Oryzias latipes: one gene and its partner. The protein of the gene in region 1 interacts with the protein of each later gene in a biochemical or structural test. Links are inferred from orthologs where the notes say so. Each region holds a gene or a part of one and is shown on either strand. Other genes may lie near its edges. The genes, in order: ksr1 and mark3.

Region 1 (4,485 bases):
CATGAGCGAGGCATCCACGAATGATCAAGATTATTTTTTGAAAAAGGGAGGAAGAAAAAAAGATGGACCAGGGAGCATGACACAAGATCATCATTGCCTCTCGTTGTTCTGAGGGTGTCACTTTCCCCTACGTGGATCATAATGCCCTCCTAAGCTGACAACAACAAGACAACAAATACAACTTGCCAACCCCCCCCCACCTAAAGAAACAACAACAATAAGGCGCATTTGAGATCGTATTATGTCGCCGTATAGATGAAACCTAAACCCTGGGCTTTCTGAAACATTAGTTTTTAAGGGCAACTGTATAATTATTAATAGGGGTGTTGAGTTATCCAGAAATAAAACAGACATGGATAATTAATAGCCTCTAGTCAATCAGAGTTGGGATACTTATTTAAGCCAAGGTATAAGGCTTAAATAAACAATGAACCAGGAAGCACACTTGTTATTCATAAGGCTGTTGAGTGCTGAAAACTCCAATATTCCAATTTGTTTCATATGTGTTCAGGTTTTACCCCTGTTGTCTTCATACATAGTAAATTGCATACACTTATATACCCCCTGCTACCTTCTTAGCAGGCCGCAAGGCACTGTAGAGTCAAAGTCCTATTAACCAATGCACAGACTAATGGTGGCCCTACTGTCGAACACTGGCGCCAACCTATAACCACCAGGACCAATGCGGGGTTCAGGGACAATTTGACAACCTATAACCACCAGGAGCAATGTGGGGTTCAGGGACAATTTGACAACCTATAACCACCAGGAGCAATGTGGGGTTCAGGGACAATTTGACAACCTATAACCACCAGGAGCAATGTGGGGTTCAGGGATAATTTGACAACCTATAACCACCAGGAGCAATGTGGGGTTCAGTGACACTTTGACACAGGCGGATAAGGTACCTGCGAACCTGCGATCTTCCGATCATAGGTCAACCGCTCTACTTCTGCACCACAGAGGTGTAAAGCATTGAGCCTGCTTATTATTAGGTAATATTGGTACGCAAAATTTTACGCCATGTGGAAAATGAGTTTGTTTACTTCAACTGCAAAATACATATGGAGCAATTTCTTTGCTTGGACATTTCCAAGATACTTCCTGGTGCTGAAGACTCTTTCACCAAGCCATGTCAAGACATCCGAAGATGGGAAGAAATCTGGATCAGGAGGACTTCTAGTTGGCAATAAATTGAAAAATGCATTTCAAAGTCTTGGGTTTGTTTTGGGCTATGTCTGAATTCCCTCTCTCTAACTAAAAAACTATCTAGTGTGGGACTATTTTAGTGCCCTGAAAGCAATTCAGACACGTTGCTCACTTTTTTTTTTTTAAACGGCAATTATGACGTCACTGATTTCACAAAGTGAAAACATAATCAGCAAGAACATTTTATGACAGCTATTTATGAATCCACTGTGTTCTGATGATGAAAACGTTGATGGCTTATTAAAAAAAAACATACATTTTTCCCACAAAAATTGTCTAAACGCATTGTGGTCAACACACTGCGATCTAGTGTGCACCAATGCACACTGGTTTTTCACAGAGACTTCAGAGATTTCTAGGGCACTGGATTTTGGAATTGTAGATTCAGACAGACCTACTAAACTGGTGAAAGCACTAAAGTGTAATGTGTAGTGAAGAAATTCTGACACAACCTTGTAGTTTGTCGCATAGCACAGAGGGTCACAGAGCTGCACATACAGCAACATCAGTAATAGCAGCAGCAAACTAATCGTAAACCAGAAATCGTAAATGGATAGTAATTGCAATATCGCCTATGCAACACAGGTATAGCAAAAGTTGAGATAAATGGTTACTTTAAATTTTTGCACACATGCTAAAGTAATCGTATGGCATCTTAAAGTATTTAACAAATTTAATTGAGCCCCGGCTTAATCAGTCTAAATATTACGTCATGCTTGCCTCTTATATAGACTAGGGTCATCTGGAGTTTAATTTAATTTATGTGGCCTTTTATTTTAATAAAAGTGTTGAAATGGAAATTATGTATTTAGTTGTTTAGCTTTTTTGATGCATCACCAGTCATATCGTCGAAATGATCATTAAAATCGCACATCACGAGTTGCCAATATATCGTGCATCCGATTATTATTGAATGTGTGCCATTAGGCCAGGCACACACAGGAGCCTCCCCCTCCTCCTGACAAATGACAGAGATGGAGGGGTCAGGCAGTGGAAGATAGATCCTAGGCACCCCCGTTTGGGAATGTTCTAGACCCGATCGCGCTCTCTTGTTCGGTCCCCCTCGGCTCACTGAGCCTGCAGCTCGTACATTCAAGCGGATGCGGCGCGCAGGCTTCATGACTCCGCAATTTGACGGTGTCTCAAGACAGGACGCTGCATGCCATGACAGATCGGGAAGGCTGCTTACCTCTAAAGTGCGTATTTCTTGCTGCGTAAGGTCGTTGGAGGCTGCGCACTTAGTCCGTAGCCCCTGTAAACTGGAGATGGAGATATCAATCATGTTCTGGATGAGTTCGCACTGATGCAGTGCGGCCATCGCCACGCCGCCGCCGCCGCTGCTGCCCCTTTCCGGCTGTTCATCACTCTCGACCATCCTCCCACCTCTGATAGACACACTATCCATTCCTCAGCATTGGGCTCGGATGGAAGGACTGGGGGGTGAGGGGGAGGGTGAGGGGGGGTCAAACCGCTAAGCTCAAATGAAACATATGCAGCGGTCCAGCGACGCAGCGACCTGTCGTAGGAAGTTAGCTGACAGCAACTGTCTCCAGGTCACGGTGTGGGGAGAAAGAAAAAAAACAGTCGAGGTAATATTTGATTTAAAAAAAAACGGCGTGTTCGACCGTGAACTGGGTCGAGCAACTCGGCGAGGTCCGATAAGGCTTGTATTCTCCGTCCGTGTGGGCTTCCGACGAGAGGATACACACTAGCTTCCACCGAAGGCTCTGGCGGAGGCTTCAACGTCTGTCAGCTGTTGGGAACATCATCGAGCGCGGTGCATCCTGGGAAATATAGTTCGATATGTAAACGTTCAAAGAGCCACATCTCTACTTCAAAAAGAGAAGAAAAAAACAACCTTTCAGTTGTTTAAGCAATATGACATACAGTTTTAATGATCATGACTTGTTTTAAATACAAGTGTTTTGTTTGTTGTCGGCACATTTGTCATTTTAAAAATACTATTTTATAGATATTATAAAAGTAGCAACACATAAAGTAATACCCTCTGTGATAATAATCATTTATTCAAACCTTTTCATTAAGGGGAAAACAACAATCTCCATTTGACAGACCTTAAGAAAAATAACATGTTTGAAAACGATAGGCAGAAGCGAAGCCTACTCCTTAAGACCCATTCAACTTTAACAACAAAATTTAAAAATATATATTTCTTATCTATAATTCCCCATCAATCACATTATAAATAAATACCAGACATTCATTAAAATCATCATGGGGCTCAGACAAAAGCAATCAATGACCTCATAACCATTCTTATCTGTTGAGTCTTAATTTAAAGATTGAAAATCCTCTCTTTGTTAGATTTTACAAATAAAGGATGGGTGTGTTCATACTAGTCATTAGCTTGGTGATTTGTTCTTATAGCCCTTTTTTGTAGTGTATACCAAGGACAGATAGTAGATTTAAGTGTGCTTCTCCAAACTTAAGTACAATATTAAAAATATGGAAATATCAGAGAGCCCAGAAAAAATGCTTTTCCCTGGATAGTCAACTCCATTTGAAAAAAATAATTGTAATTTCAAATTACCTGACTATAGAGACTGTTGCAAAAAGGTTTTCTGATTTTTTTAATATTCCAAAATACAAAATTAAAAAAGAAATAACAAAAAAGTATTGCAAATTTAAAATATATTGTATCTAGCTAAATGATTCAGTTCCCTTAAAAGATTTTAATATTTTTTTTTTTTTGCAAATATCTGTGTATTTTTTGTGTGTGTGTTTTTTTGTCTGTCTCGCGTGACCTGTTGGTTGTAAAGTTTTACCCAGCAGATGTTTAAACCTTCAAAAGTAGATCATATCTGTTTTGTCTTTTCCTACAATTTAAAAAGAGAACATTTTTGGCCAAGAAATTAGAACCAAAACACGACGGGTGTACTACCATCCTTTTAAGCACCATTAGAACTCCTTTTAAGACAGAATTTGGTTTAATACTAATATCCAAATCCTTGTATTTAAATGTCATTTGGATTCAAAGTAAATGTTGCCACGGAGGATTCTTCCATTAATGTTCGAAAATTTGTATTTGCTTGCATCAATAATTTCTTCAAATGTAGTCAGATGACTTGAATGTGTAGTCTTTCTGGTCTTTAGATTTGTAACCAGACCTCATTTGTTCCTCAAAAGCTTGAACTTTATTGCCGTTTCAGCAAACGGCCACATTGAATCACTTCTCTATAGATATGGTTTTTATTTAGCTTGCAGTGAATTGCAAGAATTTTTCAGACCTTGGCAAAAAAACAGATATTATCAAAA
Region 2 (4,409 bases), on another chromosome or scaffold:
GATGTCTCCGGGTGGCCTGAGAGCCCGTCATGTTTTCCACAGGACGGCACTTTGCCCTCTGAGGATGCCCACAGCCCCGCACAGACCAGAGCCCCACAAGCACAGAGAGGAAGAGGAGCACTGATGAAGCTCAGCCTGCTGCAGGCAAGCAGGGAACAGCCGTCCTTTCAAAATAAAGCCTGGGATTCTGATCTGAACATCCCCGTTTCATAGAAAAAAATACACATTAAAAGGTAAACGCCTGTCTGTTACCAGAAGTTGTAGATATTCTTCAAACTGCTTATACTCCTGATTAAAGACCCACTCCGATGAATATGGAGTTTTTAACACGTTCGTGTGGCTTTTTTCTAATGATGGAGCACATTTATTAAGAAAATTTAGATTAAAGAAATAATGTTGTTTGAAAAAGGTTGTAGTCTTAACGTACAAACTACGGTGGGCGGGGCCAAATTCTCCCTGCTCCGCCCCTTTCTGATCATCCACTGTCAGACAAATAGATCGGTGAATGTCTTTGTTTTTCTGGTCTGAGCTGGAATCTGCACATAAACAAACAGGACTCTGCACCAACGGTCCCGCCCACAAATCAGAGGTGAATTTCTGAGGAACTCCTGCTGCTCTGAAAAAAAATGATGTCCTAGAAAACAAGTTTTATGATTTTTCAGAAAACTGGATCATCCTAATTGAGAGAGCACTGGGATCGGCTTTAGAACGGATCAAAAGGTGATCGGAGTGGGGACTTTACTAGTCATCCTTTACATTAGAACACTGAGCAACAAAGGATCAATAGTTTCACCTCATCTTATCGCCCTCTGAGCTGTTTGTGCTCCACTCCAGCAGACGCTGCAGCTGACACGAGTCATGAGACGGACCGTATCACATGCAGACATCAGGCATCTGCAGTGGCTTAGACAACATGATACGGGGAAGGACAGAATGTATGGATGTATGATACTCGAAATCTGCCTGCTTCACAAAATGCCTCCTTTCCCCCTCAAAACAATCACTTAGAAATATGCAGATGTCGATTCTATATCTTTATTTTCAGAAGAGCCACTATTAATTAACACTAAAATCAACTGTTAGATAATTATCCTGTCCAATACTTTAGCAGACAGGCCATTCCTCTGTCCCTGGACATGATCCTATGTAAGGAAAGGGTTTTTCTGCTGCTGAGGGACTTCCTGAAGCTGAGTAACAACTTTACACGACTTAAAAAAACTCTCACAAAATTCCTACAAAAGCAATTACTGCTACAATACAAATCATCCAACAAGGAAAACGAATAACAGCTGAGTAAAGTAGAAGCGGTGTTCAGACACTGAGATAACTAAGCAGTCTCTAAAATTGAATTTTAAATCAGCTTCAATAGGACTCTCACTAAAACACTAGATTGGCTGTTAGCTACTCTAAAATCCTCCTCTCCCAGTTATTTACTCAGGCTGTTTAAACAGAGGTGTTGTGTTTAAAGACGTCAGTCAATCAGGTGTTGAAGTAACTCTTCAAGGCGTCAGGAGGTCTACTTACAAAAATCATACATTGTAAAAGAGCAAACACCACAAGAAGCCACGGTCAACAAAATGTGCACCGCAAATTTTTAACATTAATGTGCAATATTACAAATCCTCTGGGAATTCTTTGATTGTAATAATAAGACCCGTTTTTAATTACAACAAAATTATGAACTAGTTTCATTAAATATTCTTTTATTTTGATAGCACAAACCGGAAGCCCACAGAGTCATGTTGCCAGCAGTTCGACGACCTCCTTTCAAGCAGGAGAGCACTGTTTGTCACAGGGGGCGGAGCTACGAGGGTTCGCTTTGAAATCTGAGTGGATAAAATGTCGTGATTGACAGCTGCAAAGGCCAACTGGCGTCCGGGACGGAAACTACTGTTGCCTGCCAGAACCAGTCCAGCAGGCAAAGTACTGTAGTTCAGCTCGTGTTTGGGCCTTAGCTGCTTGCTTAAACACCAAATAAAAAGTCACAACAAGGCAGATGTTTTACAGTTCATGCAAGAACCAAGTGTTGTGTTATTTTTATCTCACACGCCGGTATAAATTAAAGGCAGGGCGTGTTTGACGGAGAGGCAGCTTGTTTACCATGTAACACAAAGTAGTACATCGGGTGTAAAACAAGCCATCGGTCAGAAAATAAAGAAATGAAGTGATTGGGCTGCCGCGTATCTTTGACTGACAGCCATTTTTCAGGCAGTTGACCGATTGAACGTGACCAGAAGAGCCCGTCTACTCACACTTTCCGTCACCTTTTCGTTGACCGTGGGTAAGGGAGTTTTGGTTGACATCTTCTCGGCCGTCTTCCTTCAAAACTCTTGTTTTCCGATGTCCAAACGCCAGCCCGACCTCCCAAAACCAACAGACCCTAATTCGCTCTGCAGCTCTCTCCGGAAAACGGTCTCGGCATGGATCGTGACGACTCTCGCAGACCGGACGTGTTTGTGCCGAGCACCTGAGCTCTCAGGAAGAGCAAAGAAAAAAAAAAAAGAAGAAACTACGGAGCGGTACGGTCTGCTTTTCAGTGGTTACATGTCACTGCAGGCCGGTGAGGTCCGATCCACACATCCCGACAGGAAAAGCGGTGTCCATGAGAGTCAGTGAGGCTAACTAAACTAACGCGAAGGCGCTGTGTGACTGTGTCGGTCGGTACAAAAATAGCCGAACCTTCCCTTTTCCCGCAAACCGAGTTCGGATTAAACAGAACCGATATAGGGTCACTGGTAGGAGTTTGGCAGAGAGAAGGTAAATCCCCGGAAGGCTGAAACACCCGCAGTCTGTTCTGTTTCTCCCATCTCCTGCGGACTAAAGTGAAGCAGTTCGGACTGTTTTAGGTGGGACCAAAATGGCTACTGAGCGGCTGGGCTGGATTAGGATGCGTTCACGGACCCATTGCACCGTCAGACATAACTAAACCGTGAATCTCCGAAGGGTTAAAAAACACCAATTCAGCACGATTTCCCACTACAAGTGGCATTTTTCTGTGAAAATACGGAATACATATAATCAGCACACAAAGTAAAATATATGCATTTTAACTGTTGTCAGTGGTGTATTTGTTTTTTCGCCCTTCAAAATAATCATTAATTTAATTAGAAAAACGTTGCAGTTGAACTAATTTGATGAGAAAAATGGTTTACAAAAATGTGAAAACGTTTTTTAACTTGAATGCAATCTCTGCGCTCCTGACGGTACTTGAAGGCACCACGTCCATGTTTTACTGAGCGGGCAGAGAAAACTTACTGACCTCGGTCCCACTGGACCGGTGAGCCCGACCAGAACCTCGGCGGGCCGAGAGGAAACTGCCTCGTGACTCACTTCAAAAGGGGTGTGGATGACGCACACGAAGGTAAAGCCCGCGTGAAAACACCAGCTTCCTGTCCCTAGCATCTGACAATCCCAAGGCGTTTCTCTATGCGAACCCAGAGTCTAGGTTGATCCAAAACTGAGCGTTTCAGAACCGATGTTCTGTTTTCCCTGCATTAACTAATACATACAGCACCGTTTACATCAAGTCATCCTTTAGAAAAGACAACAGTGTGGTGGATAGCAAAACATTTTTATTGACTGGAAAAATACAACAAGCACCTCCCTTTCCCCAAAACAAAGGAGAAAACAAAGATGCAAATCAAAATGATCCCCATAACACTTGTGATTAACCCCCGAGCAATTTCATTTAGTCAACTGAGTACATGTCAGGATTACAGTTACTGTGCAGCAGGAAAAGCGCTACAGAAATCATGCCACAAAGCAGAAGGGAGTCTGGGAAATGTAGTAAAGGAGCAAAAGGCAAACTATTCCATACGTCATACAGAGCGTTATGAGTCACAGCATCAGCATACACATCCGTCTTAGATTGCATCGATGTCAATGTCATCCTCCTCCTTCTCGGGTGTTTCTGGTTTGACCGTCTCCACCTTCAGCTCACGAGCGGAGGACGAATACACCACCTGAAGACGCAAAACAGCAGATTTAAGGAACGTCACCTTTACTACGATGGACGCCCACCGACGTCTCCACCTGAGGAGACCAAGTGTTAACCCTCCAACAGGTAAACAAGTACCTTTAGGTTCACAAGACCGAAATGCTGAACTAAATCGCAAGAAGTTACCCCGGTCTGGACCCCAGACCCCAGACTGCCATCACACTAAGTTCAGCCTTGAGCTCTAAAGAGATGTTGCATTTCCGATCTTGAAGACCCTCTCTGATGAAAATAGTGATTTGGGTGTTTTTAATGCAGTCTTTTTCTCACGATAGAGGACATAATAAAGAAAAAGAACATTCTACTAACTGCATTTCTGAGTATTTCATGATCCAAATAGATGTGAATATGGAGCCAGCGCTCTAAAGTGCAACTGGATTTTTCAATGGTCCGTCTTAAAAATCCATGGTCGTAC

The links.
Region 2: of the proteins of ksr1 (region 1) and mark3, one has a biochemical effect on the other in vitro, tested with the Homo sapiens proteins (2 studies listed by BioGRID). The link is inferred for Oryzias latipes from reciprocal best matches to the Homo sapiens genes KSR1 and MARK3.

What each region holds. Positions count from the first base shown.
Region 1 is NC_019872.2:17,303,881-17,308,365, forward strand, and holds the start of ksr1 (kinase suppressor of Ras 1), read right to left. Parts: upstream 2,989-4,485; 5' UTR 2,615-2,988; coding exon 2,399-2,614; intron 1-2,398.
Region 2 is NC_019880.2:21,349,578-21,353,986, forward strand, and holds the start of mark3 (MAP/microtubule affinity-regulating kinase 3), read right to left. Parts: upstream 2,878-4,409; 5' UTR 2,304-2,877; coding exon 2,253-2,303; intron 109-2,252; exon of another isoform or gene 32-108; coding exon of another isoform or gene 1-31. Other genes in the region: eif5 (eukaryotic translation initiation factor 5), read right to left, coding at 3,864-3,962. UniProt on the Homo sapiens protein: Serine/threonine-protein kinase. Involved in the specific phosphorylation of microtubule-associated proteins for MAP2 and MAP4. Phosphorylates the microtubule-associated protein MAPT/TAU. Phosphorylates CDC25C on 'Ser-216'.